Linked DNA regions of Schizosaccharomyces pombe. The protein of the gene in region 2 purifies or fractionates together with the protein of the main gene of each other region. This does not show direct contact. Each region holds a gene or a part of one and is shown on either strand. Other genes may lie near its edges.

Region 1 (4,801 bases), 2.5 Mb from region 2:
AGCAACACTTGCAATTGGAATAGGAACAACACTTTACGTTCTATTTAAGGATCTGGTTCGGGACCAAGAAGCAAAAAGTGAATCAAAATCAAGAAAGAAAGTTATGATTCTAGTGGATGAGGTAAATATGTTAAACATAATTTGCTAATTATTTGATTATTAACTTTTATTAGACCACTAGTGAAGAGGATATTAAAAAATGGAGTGACTACGATCTTTTCCTTGCTTCCCGTTCTACTTTGCTTTCAAAACATACCTCCCGATTAGAAAGTTATGTTTCTCATCCTTCTAAAGCTCTTCGGTGTGATGACCCTGATAGTATTCTCACATTCCTAAAACATCTAGATATTAATATCTTGGTTTGGAATGCTCATTGGTCATCTGAACGTTTAAAAACTCAATGTGAAAACCTTGTTTACATTTTAGTGGAATAAATAAAACGTGTTGAACATTTACAAATATTTGTGACATTATTATTTAAGTACCGACTAGTAAAAATGACTGGACTATAAATACTGGCTCTCCCACAAGTACATGTTTTCAAAAGCAAACTACATGATGAAACACAATATTATCAAATTTGTCAAAACTCAAAGCGCCATAGATATTAGTATCTAAAATTAACCCAAAAAAAGCAAAGCATTCAATAATCTACTGAAATCTAATCTTAACTTGAAAGATTTCTACTGATTTACAGTAATAAACAAAACGACTCGCCTGTGAAGCAATATATCAATTCAATATAAATTATCCAACCGGATTTTGCATTTCAAGAAACTATAGGCTAAGTGGAACAAAGGTCCTCGAAAAAAAAACATAAAATGCAAAATAATATCCCTGTGAAACGAATAAACACCCATTCGTCAAGATAAAAGTAAATAAACTATACTAAATTTCCAACAGGCTTAACCCTTATTTCTTCCAATAGTGAAAACTTTCATAGAAATGTCATTCACTACTCAGTGAAGCCAGGCTCTTGATCAACGAATTCTTGCAAAACCCCAATAGCTTCGTTGACTCTTTCATTAAGAGCGGAGTCATCCTCAAGTAACTCCAATAACTCGGAATTAGGCATCTCCAACAACATACCGGTAATTTTACCAGAGAGTTTTTCCTCACGAACGAAAACCTTAGGGTAAAGAAGCTCACCAAGGACCTGCTTCCTGCTTTCCTCTGGAACGGCAGCCAAATCAGCAGCCGTGAATCTTTCAGGCATGCCAGGGACTGCGGGAACAGCTTCAGCTTCAGCAGGACCAGCAGAAGGAACGGAACCAGGCATCATCATAGGACGGCCTTGAGCGGGGACGGGACCGCGAGCGTTCATACCGGGATAGCCAGGGGCGGGACCTCCAGCAGGGAACTGAGTGGGCATGCCAGGATACATAGGCATAGGGCCATTATGTCCAGGAACCATAGGCATACCACGACCATTGACGGCAGCAGGAATAGGATAACCACCAGGACCGTAAATAAGAGGACCAGTGGCACCATATTGAACAGCGGGAATGCCGGCAGCAGCGGCAACTTGTTGTTGTAAACGGAATTGGTTACGCGCCTGGATTTGAGCCTCCAACTGACTACGGCGAACCTCCTTACGTTGAGCCAAAGCAACGTAAAGGGGCTTACCAGCAAGCATACGCTGGTTCATCTCAGTAACAGCCTTGTTGGCCTCCTCAGGAGTGGTGTAGCAAACGAAACCGAAACCCTTAGACTTGCCTTGCTCATCGGTCATGATCTTGGCAGAAGTGATGGTTCCAAAGGCAGAAAATTCAGCCTTAAGACGCTCATCGTCAACCTCGTCCTGCAAGTTTTTAATGAACAAATTGACACCTTGATATTTGTTCATCTTCTCAAGCTTCATTTGTTCATAACGCTTACGAAGCTCCTCTTCGCGCTCATGCTTCTTTTGAGCACGACCAACATAAAGCTTCTTACCCTTGTACTCCTTGTCGTTGAGCTCATCAACGGCCTTTTGAGCACATTCGTGGTTGGCATAGTTGACGAAACCAAAACCACGAGGTTTGTCATTCTGATCCTTGACAAGAGAGAGAGAGGTGATCTCACCGAATTGACCAAAGAGGTCGGAGAACTCTTGTTCGGTAATTTCGGTGTCAAGGTTCTTAATGTAGACGTTGGTAAAGTTTGCCTTCAAAGCCTCAACCTTGGATTGACGCTCACGGCGGCTAACATGATGACCGACATAAACCTTTTTGTCGTTCAAAAGCATGCCATTGACATGCTCGATAGCAGCATTGGCAGACTCGACCGAGTCAAAATGCACAAAACCGTAACCTTTAGCATTACCTAACTCATCAACAGCAACCTTGCAGGACAAAATCTTACCAAAGGCGGAGAAAGTGTCGTGTAAAGCCTTGTTGTCGATGGCAGGATCCAAGTTTTTGATGAAAACGTTACCAGTACCCATTTTACGCAAGGATGGGTCACGTTGAGACCACATGATGCGGCAAGGACGTCCTTTGATGAGAGTATAGTTAAGCTCATCCAAGGCCTTCTCACCATCTTCCATATTGTGGAAGTTGACATAGGCATAACCCAAAGAACGGCGAGTAACGGCATCACGGCAAACACGAATACTTGCAACGGGTCCAATACTGTTAAACAGCTCAAAAAGCATAGCCTCAGTGACGGAGGGATCGAGCTCACCAACGTACAAGGAAGCACTGGTGGGAGCAGTGCCAGAGGGAGTGGCAACCGAACTAGCATTAGTAGGGGTAGAGGTAGACTCGGAGGGTTCGGCAGCGGCTTCAGGCTCCTCTGCCTTCTTCTCGGGTTGAGTTTCGGTGGAAGGAGTGTTGGAAGACTCCTCCTTGGTAGAAGACTCAACAGCCTCGTTGTTGGTATTTACATCGCTCTCAACGGCGGCATCAGCTTGCTTCTTAAGATCCGTGGAAGGCATGGCGTTTTCAGAATTTTAAAAACTTGGGCTTTTATGATATTTTTCGAGATTTTTTTAAATTTATAGGTTTTGTGGTTTGCGAAGGAAGGAATGTGTGGTGGGCGAAAATTTAAATCACAGCACTGTACTCCGGTATCTTGAACTCCGAAAGAAAACCCAACTTAATAAATAAAATGTGAGTACACTACGTAAAGTAAGGCAGAAATCAAAGAATTACCATAAAAGAAAAGGCAAAAGAAAACAAAGGAAAAGGCGAAAAAATTTTTGGAAGGAAAAAATATGGAATTGCAGTGCAAGAGTGCTTGTTTAAATTTTGGGGAAAATTTCGATGAGATGGGGATTTCCTTTCTACCAAAACAAACAAGGAATCTCAACGAAATGTCGTAAATATACTTTAATAAATGAGTTTCTACAACTACAGTATAAGGAATAGATTTGGTATGTGATATCGGCACACTAAATAGGTTATTTGAGACACGCACAAATGGTAGGCAAAAGAGTAAAAGGAGGTGAAATTCCGAACAAAGAAAGCACAGGGATTAGGATAGACGTGTCATAAAAGCAAAACAAAGAGTGGAATTTTACGGGACAATGTATGTGAAATTTTATGTTGGCAGGACGACAGAGTATTATAGGAACTTGACTATGCATATGGTTCAATTGAACAAACAGATAAATCGTAGAAAGATTATGAATGTGTGTATAAAAAATCAATTGGGTGGTAGAGAATAAGTTGGAAATTTTTATTGCAATTGCTTTTAATTTTGTTTTGTTTTGATTTCTTTTCTTTTCTCTCTTTTTTTGTAACTAGACTATAACTGAAAAAGACTATCGAAACAGTGTTGGAACGAGATACATAAAACCAAGTTGTTTACATATACGATTATGATCATGAGACGACATTGAGTACGCTATTATTTATTTTTTTGCCTTGTTTTCCTCTTATAACTCGTTATGTCGCATTTCGCATCTCTCTCATCGCCAAAATCTTGAAACTCAATTTAACACATTTTACCGTGCTTACGCTATTTACAGCATATCGAAAAGCGACGACAACTTTGCGCAGTACGGAAATTTAAGCTTGAATGTGTCGAATATGGATTTGCATGGGCGACACAAGCGCCCTTTATCGTATATGGGGACAGTAAGCGCAGATGATGTAAAAATGGAAGTGAGTGACAAAGTTGGGGGGACGAGGGGATAGGAAATCATGAGGAAGTTTAGCGCTATCCAAGGCACCCCAATAACCCTTCCATGGACGTAAAGGTATGGGTAAGAGCCGAGCGTGATGGCAAGTGTAAAAGATAGCAGGAGATAGATTATGGGAGAAAAAGAAAATGAGGACGAGCAATTTATAAGCGGTTAAAAAAAAAAAAAAAAAAAAAAAAAAAACTGTCTCAGTAAGCAATGGCGGATATATATAACCGAAAAAGGGTAGATAAAAAGGAAAAGGACAGGAGAAAACGAAATGGGCAGAAGCGAGAGCCAAAAGTGGCCGAATGGAAAAGTGGGTTAGGGAAGAGGAAGAAGGGTTTCCGTACTAGTACCTTAGTTACTTGTGAGTAATGAGTCACTAATAATAATAAAAAAAAAAGTAGCGCTCGAATCGGTATTGGAATTGAAAGTGTTGCGCTTTTTTGAGGCAATGTCTCAACCAATCGTACCAAACTCTCAATAATTTTCAAGTATACGAACTATATCACTTTGTAATGATACAAGCAAAGTAAAAAGGGAAAAAATAGTAGAGTATTGAAAAATAGACTATATACATGGTTTGTATTTTTATTCATATTCACTACATCTGTTCAATTACAACCAAAAATCATTAAACCCTCCTTCTTTTAACTACAGTGCTGCAAGATCCCCTCTTGTCATTCATCTCTT
Region 2 (7,468 bases):
GCCATTTTTCCGTAAAAGTAGTATTGGACCAAAGGATCAGTCAAACCATTTCCAATCAAGACACTCTTCAAATTGATGTATTGCTTCTCCATTTCATAGCCGCTGGCAACAAAGAAGTTAGCACCTTGGTTATGCTCCATAATTTCCTTGGCAAACTGGGGGATGTAATGGCCAGCATAGGATTCACCAGCAATGTGAAAGTCCAAATGAGCGTACTGAGGGAACTTGGCAAAGAAAAGGTTCAAGAATGCATAAACATCCTTACCAGCCGTAACAGTGTCAAGAACCGAGTCATCTCCGTTGCTGAAACCCGTGTTGATAGGTTGATCCAAAAAGATAACTGAAGCATTGGAGTTCCAACTGTGAGGGTTATATTCGGGTTTAAGAGTCTCAATGTTGATTGAAGAAGGACCTAATTCCATGAACAAACCAGTAAGGGAAGAGCAACCAGGACCACCGTTCAACCACAACACGACGGGATCATTCTCGGGATCATTTCTAGATTCAAAGAACCAGAAGAAAAGATGTCTGTCATCTTCGACATCTAAGTAACCGGTGTATTGCTTAACAGTGTCAATACCAAGTGATTCAGGTTTGGAATCTTTAACGCGAAGAGTGTGATCAGGGAAAGCCTTTAAATTTACATGTTCACCATTCTCTTCTTGTGAAAAAACAGCGTAGGGACGTGAAGAATCAGCAGGTTGAGCATTAGATGGCTTAGCAGGATGACTCTGGTCACGGAAAGCAGTCATAGGATCAATACCTTCAGCCTTGAGCATTTCAAGGTAGGCAAATTGTTCAGGAGTGAGATCACTCAACTCCAAATCATCGTCGAATTCAAATAGGGGGGGAATTGATGAATCCTTTGGGGCATTTTCTTGAATATGTACAGGAATGTTACCATAGTATTCAATACCAAGAGTGTCTAAAAAGCGAGAAAACTCTTCGGCAATTTCTTCAACAGGAACAGAATTGATGAGGTCAGCGAAAGCCTCAATGACCAAAAGCTCATGAGAACTTTGCATGTTTTGCTCAGGACGTTCGTTGTGCTTCTCCTTAGGTCCTTGATGGTGCTCCTTGTCCTTAGGTCCCTTGTGGTGCTCCTTGTCCTTAGGTCCCTTGTGGTGCTCCTTATCCTTAGGTCCCTTATGGTGCTCCTTATCCTTAGGTCCCTTATGGTGCTCCTTATCCTTAGGTCCCTTATGGTGCTCCTTATCCTTGGGTCCCTTATGGTGTTCCTTGTCCTCAGGTCCACGATGATGCTCAGGACCTTCATGCTCCTCAAGCTCATGGTGTTTGAAAGGAGGAGGAGGCATGTGCTCTCCAGGCTCGTGATGCATAGGAGGAGGAGGCATGTGCTCTCCAGGCTCGTGATGCATAGGAGGAGGAGGCATGTGCTCTCCAGGTTCGTGGTGCATAGGAGGAGGAGGCATGTGCTCTCCAGGTTCGTGGTGCATAGGAGGAGGAGGCATGTGCTCTCCAGGCTCGTGATGCATAGGAGGAGGAGGCATGTGCTCTCCAGGTTCGTGGTGCATAGGAGGAGGAGGCATGTGCTCTCCAGGTTCGTGGTGCATAGGAGGAGGAGGCATGTGCTCTCCAGGTTCGTGGTGCATAGGAGGAGGAGGCATGTGCTCTCCAGGTTCGTGGTGCATAGGAGGAGGAGGCATGTGCTCACCGGGCTTGTGGTGCATAGGAGGAGGAGGCATGTGCTCACCAGGCTCGTGATGAGCAGGGAACTCTCGATCCTCATCGTCAAATTCATGATGCTTGGGACGCTCGTCATCAAAGAAAACAGAGTCATCCTCGGGTTTAGGGTGAGACTTCTTTCCCTTTCCCTTAGCATGTTTACCCTTATGGTGCTTTCCTTTTCCTTTGCATTTACCGTGCTTTCTGCGGGGAGCATCCTCATCAGCTGAGTCATGAGGGCGCTTCTCGCGAACGTGTTCATCCTCATCATCGTCAAAGATATTGTCGAGACGATCAGAAACGGTGTGAAGGAAATCACGAGCAGGCTGAAGGAAAGAGTCAAGCTTGTCTTTAAATCCAGGGTGTTCTAAGGCAGTATCATCTTCAAAGTCATCATTAAACTCGTGATGACCCTTGGGGTGATGAGGAGCCTCAGCTTCATCACGCTCGGGAACGGGATTCATAAGAGGAGCAGAGCTTTCCTCTTGCTCACGGATGAAATCCTCCCCAAATTTCTCGTAAAAATCTTTGGGAACGACGATATCACCACCATTTTGCTCAGGAGGAACATAACCGTTAAACTGAGCGGATACGACGCAAGTGAGCAAAAAGTACAAGAAGGTTTGTTTCATTAACATCTTGTTTCAATGTACAGTATAGAAAGGAGAGAAACAAAAGGAAATGAAATATTCGTACAACAAGCTAACCAAATAGACCGAACTTCTCAAACAATCAATTGATAGATACAAATCTGTATGTACTGGATTAAAAAAGAAATTGCAAATTAGCCAAATCAGATAACTGTTAGGCAAAATGAGCTATATGGATAGATTAAAAAGAAAAATAAACAATGAGAAAAAGAATGTATTTAACTCAATGTCGATTGCGAAGCCTCACGTCTTACAGTGTGATTACAAGCACTAAAGGCAATGTGGATATCGCAATAAATAACTAGACAGAAAACCACAAAAAGTAGCAAATTCTTAAACAAACGTATTTACGATCGTTTTGCTGCTTTTCCCTCTTCAGATCACTTTACTGGTTCTAGGGTTCGATGGCGTTAATGTGTGCTTGGTTAAGGAGAAAAGTAAGCGGCAGGCAACAATCGCTATATATATGAAGGGTTAAGCATAAGTCCAGAAGCGTGACGCAGACGCCTCGCATGAATCATCATGTTCTAAGCCCCTTCGCAATCCTCCTTAGATATCGCTGCAAATACTTTACAATGTCTTTATACGCTAATAACGAAATATAATGAAAAAAGTAGCTTCGCTTGCAGTTAGCAAACAGGAAAATCACATCTGATAATATTTATTAAACAAAAAGAAAGGTAAACATGTGGATCAAGTTATTCTTAGTTGAATTATTGGATTCAATTAAACCTTAAACAGACAGTATAAAATATAAAAACACGCTCTTGTTATTAATTGTTTTGCAGTCATCAAGTACTTGACTAACTCTTTGCAGAAGCAATGGATATTTATCTTTGGAGAGTAAAATTGAGAAGCAAAGTACACAAAACTCAAGGTAGCAAATCTATAATGCCTAGACAATTATCTTGTATTGCTAGTTTGTGAAACAATGAATATGCATTCGCTTTATTGTGACTAATTCGTCCTGGTACGAATTGAAAAAGTAACTGGCCAAGCGGTTTCCGTGACAAAAATGGGTCAAAATACACAACATTATGTGATTTAGCTCCACTATACTAGGGCTATTCTTCTATAACCCGAGAACGTTGCTCGGCAAGTATACCGACATGATATATATACCTTATAATGTGTAGCAAAACTGGAAGGAGCGAGGGCGAAGATGAAAGCGATACAAAAAAAAACTATAAATAAATATATATATATAAAGAAATGTCAGCAAAGATCGAGTGTCTAGCAAGTACAAAAGTTTGTTTCTTCCGGTTTGACTACTTCAAACGAGGGCTTAGAAGTGGCTATGCTGTTTGTTTTACAGTTTCCCAGCACTGGAAATTAAAAAAAAGGGCAAAACAATACAATAGCGGCTGGCAAAACGGATGGAATTGGTCCTTTGTCTTGCACGAGGAAAAAACATGACAAGTAAAAAAAAAATTTGCAATTGGGTTTAAAAGTTAAGAGACAAATGCCATTTATTAGAACAATTAAATTTTATAAAAAAAGAATAGAAAAATAATTGTTAAAGATAGAATATAGCTAATGCATGATACAATAGAATTTGAACCTCTTAGAATATTGGTTGCTGATTCCAAAGGTGAAAAGCAGCTGCTAAAATGCCATTCCTAGTGCATTGATAAAGATTTTAATTTAGAAAAACTTAGTTCTATTTTTTCTTTGATTTTGAAATTTAAAGCATAGCAATGAGTAGCATAATATGGTGTTCGATATTTTTAAGGGATCTGTCTAGCAGCTGTGAGATATTCTTGAGCATGGTGTAACAACCATTGCTTTTCATGGGGAACTAATAGTAGAATTTATTAGTATCAAAATCAAACTGATAAATGAGAGAAACTGCTTACTATATGCACGAAAATGCCGATCGTATACCAAAGGAACGCAATCATAGATCTCGTCGAAAAAGTTGAAAAACCTTGAGACATCAATAGATTCCTTTTCGCTGACTGCTAAACATAAACGTCAGTCTAATGCAAGTTTTCATACGGTAAAGCTGAGTTTTCAATCCGGGACTTGGGAAAACATAGTTCATCGTCACTGAAATTTCCAACCAAAAAAGAAAAACAAAAATCGTACGTACCTTGATTTGTTTGGTAAACACCGACTATATCTAATATCACGTTAACAAATGATTTCCAATAAGTAGCGCATCCTCTACAAGGAGGACGAAAGATAATATTCATACACTCAATAGCAGAACGCAAGCTGCAATGGTCGCTCCATATACGAGTTTTTGGATCCGACTGATTAGGAGTTAGTGAAATCTTTAATTATCCTACAATCTAATGACATACTCCTTGTTGTATTAATAAAATGCTGTAAGCAAAATCTAGTTAGCGAATAGCCCTTGCATAGTGTACATAAGTGTCTTGAAGCTTTTCTGGCATTCGGGGAACATACATATGAGATTCTGCTGGTGGAGGCGACATTACGAGCCAAGTATTTTGAAGTATCTTCTGTTTTTATCGAGCAAGGATTAAGACCGCCTCTCAAACACACCGTCTAGCTTAATATCACCCTATTTTTATTTTCAATTTATCTGTTTGAAAATTATTTGCTATTGTCACACAAATTATTGTCAGAACGACTCTTTGTACTTTCAGGTGGGTAGCACAGTTATTGAGTAGCGATTTCGCTTTCCTTCTACAGTAGCATCCGTCACGCACTCTATCAGTTCGTTTACTTTGCAGTTCTCACAATTTAATATACTTCAAATATTATAATTATTTTTAGAAGTCATCTTCCAATCTTACTATATACTTTATCTAACTCGCTGATTTGAATAACTCGTAACACCTCTTTACCCATATCTCTTTCCTTCGAATTGCTTAGTGAAAGACCCTTTCTTTCTATTTTGTTTATTTTTCTGACTCTTTTTTTTATTTCTTTACATGTTGACTTTAAGAAGTGCTTGTCAGTTGACAACAAAAAACCTGGGACTTCATAAATGCATCTCCAAAACGGTCATTTCCGCTCTAGGAAGGAGAGGCTATCATAGTGAAAATTACGAAACCTCTAAGATATCCGGAAAGAAGGCTTTAATTTTAGAAAATGCTCTTGAACATGTTCCTCAACTGGGGTTCACGGAAGATGCAATCGTGCAAGGTGGTCAGGCCCTTGGCTATAGTAATCTCTCCAAGGCCCTCTTTCCTTCTGGTCCAATGGATTTGATTTCGTACTTTTTCCTGAAGCAGCGCTACGCTCTTAGTTCATTAAAGCCTCATTTGACCACTATCCCCGAAACATCTGGACGTGTTGTCCAGCTTATTTGGTCTCGTCTGCAAGGAAATAGGGATATTGTTCAGCATCTTCCGCAGATGATTGCAATTTGTACATACCCTTCAAACTTGCGAAAATCATTATCCTCTCTGGCTGAACTGTCAGATGAGATTCTTTACCTCGCGCAAGATAAGTCAGCCGATTTTCAATGGTACACGAAACGTGCTGCTATCTCTGCCATTTACTCTGCATCTGAGTTATTTATGAGTCGTGATACTTCTCCTAATTTTGAGGCGACTTATAACTTTGTTCAACATCGCATTCAACATGCAAAAGCCTTAAATGACTTACGCAACGATGTCTTGGAATGGGGTTCCTTTCAGCTGAATGCTGTGAGATCAATCCTTCGTTCAAGGGGAATTTAAAATTCACTGCTACTCCTTTTGCTTGTTGGTTTAACAAATCAGCTTGATTCAACTTTACGTTATGCAAGAAATAAATGCAATTTCATTTCCTACAATATTTAAGTTTTTTTGGCTAATTGTTTTCTCCATATATCGGTAGTTATTGTTGAATGTACTCTTTGATTCGAAACTTCATTTGAACAGTGTTTACCTTAAAAAAATCTATAGAAAAATCCTTATATATTCACGGGTTGATAACAAATTAACTTCAGTAAAACATTTAATAGAAACACACACTTTGACTAATGCTACCTTTACTACTTGTATATTCTGTTTTTTTACTACCTTGAACTTACTATTCTGACTCTTCCTGAGGTAACCTGTGACTTTGAAATAATTAGCTAAAACTGACAAGACACAGGCGTAGTTAAAGAACTCCAAAAATGAAAACATAGTAGCAATCAAAGCATCCCACTATTTTTTGTCTCTCGTTTCATTAGCGTTGTAAATTACTGATACCCTACTATACCTCTACAAGGCCTTTGTCATCTTTTTACTCAAGTGTGAAATCATCACTTATTGTATGAAGGATGAGCTTTCCGTTCGCTAGTTTGCTGAAAAGGCCTTCTGCAATAAGCTCTCTATTATCTTTAAAAAAACCTGGTTCCTGGTCTTCCATTCTGCTAAAAGCTGTAGGGGTTTTATCACGAGATTCCCGTTGGCATTCTGACTTATTAAAAATGCTTACAGAAGAAATGGATTCTTTAAATGGTCAAATTAATACGTGGACAGATAATAATCCTTTATTAGATGAAATTACGAAGCCATACAGAAAATCTTCAACTCGTTTTTTTCATCCGCTTCTTGTACTTCTAATGTCTAGAGCATCAGTAAATGGGGATCCACCGAGTCAGCAACTATTTCAAAGGTACAAACAACTTGCCCGTGTAACAGAATTGATTCATGCTGCCAATATAATTCATATTAATATTGGAGAAGAACAAAGCAACGAACAGATTAAACTTGCAACGTTGGTTGGAGATTATTTACTCGGAAAGGCGTCTGTTGATTTAGCACATTTAGAAAACAACGCTATTACAGAAATTATGGCTTCTGTTATTGCAAACTTAGTTGAAGGGCACTTCGGAAGCCGACAAAATGGCTCTGTTGGTTTGTCAAACGAACGAACCATCCTTCTGCAATCAGCCTTTATGCCAGCAAAGGCATGTTTATGCGCAAGCATATTGAATAACTCATCACAATACATTAATGATGCGTGTTTCAATTATGGAAAATTTCTAGGCTTATCGCTGCAACTGGCCCATAAGCCTGTATCTCCTGACGCCCAAGTTTTGCAAAAGAATAATGACATTTTGAAAACATATGTTGAGAATGCCAAGAGCTCATTGTCTGTTTTCCCCGATATAGAGGCTAAGCAAGCTCTCATGGAAATCGCTAATAGTGTTTCGAAGTAATCGACAGGTATTGTATCCTGGA

The links. The genes of interacting proteins can lie anywhere in the genome.
Region 1: the proteins of erh1 (region 2) and pabp purify together in Schizosaccharomyces pombe (affinity purification with mass spectrometry, with the first as the bait; one study listed by BioGRID). This does not show direct contact.

What each region holds. Positions count from the first base shown.
Region 1 is NC_003424.3:1,540,981-1,545,781, reverse strand, and holds pabp (major poly(A) binding protein Pabp/Pab1), read right to left. Parts: upstream 2,997-4,801; 5' UTR 2,918-2,996; coding exon 956-2,917; 3' UTR 561-955; downstream 1-560. Other genes in the region: SPOM_SPAC57A7.15C (uncharacterized protein), read left to right, coding at 1-121, 174-434. UniProt on the Schizosaccharomyces pombe protein: Binds the poly(A) tail of mRNA. Appears to be an important mediator of the multiple roles of the poly(A) tail in mRNA biogenesis, stability and translation. In the nucleus, involved in both mRNA cleavage and polyadenylation.
Region 2 is NC_003424.3:4,062,195-4,069,662, forward strand, and holds erh1 (protein erh1), read right to left. Parts: upstream 4,778-7,468; coding exon 4,749-4,777; intron 4,665-4,748; coding exon 4,643-4,664; intron 4,625-4,642; exon of another isoform or gene 4,592-4,624; coding exon 4,534-4,591; exon of another isoform or gene 4,459-4,533; coding exon 4,429-4,458; exon of another isoform or gene 4,298-4,428; coding exon 4,193-4,297; exon of another isoform or gene 4,135-4,192; coding exon 4,064-4,134; downstream 1-4,063. Other genes in the region: cpy1 (vacuolar carboxypeptidase Y), read right to left, coding at 1-2,324; ubiquinone biosynthesis protein Coq9, read left to right, coding at 5,240-5,992; decaprenyl diphosphate synthase subunit 2 Dlp1, read left to right, coding at 6,562-7,446.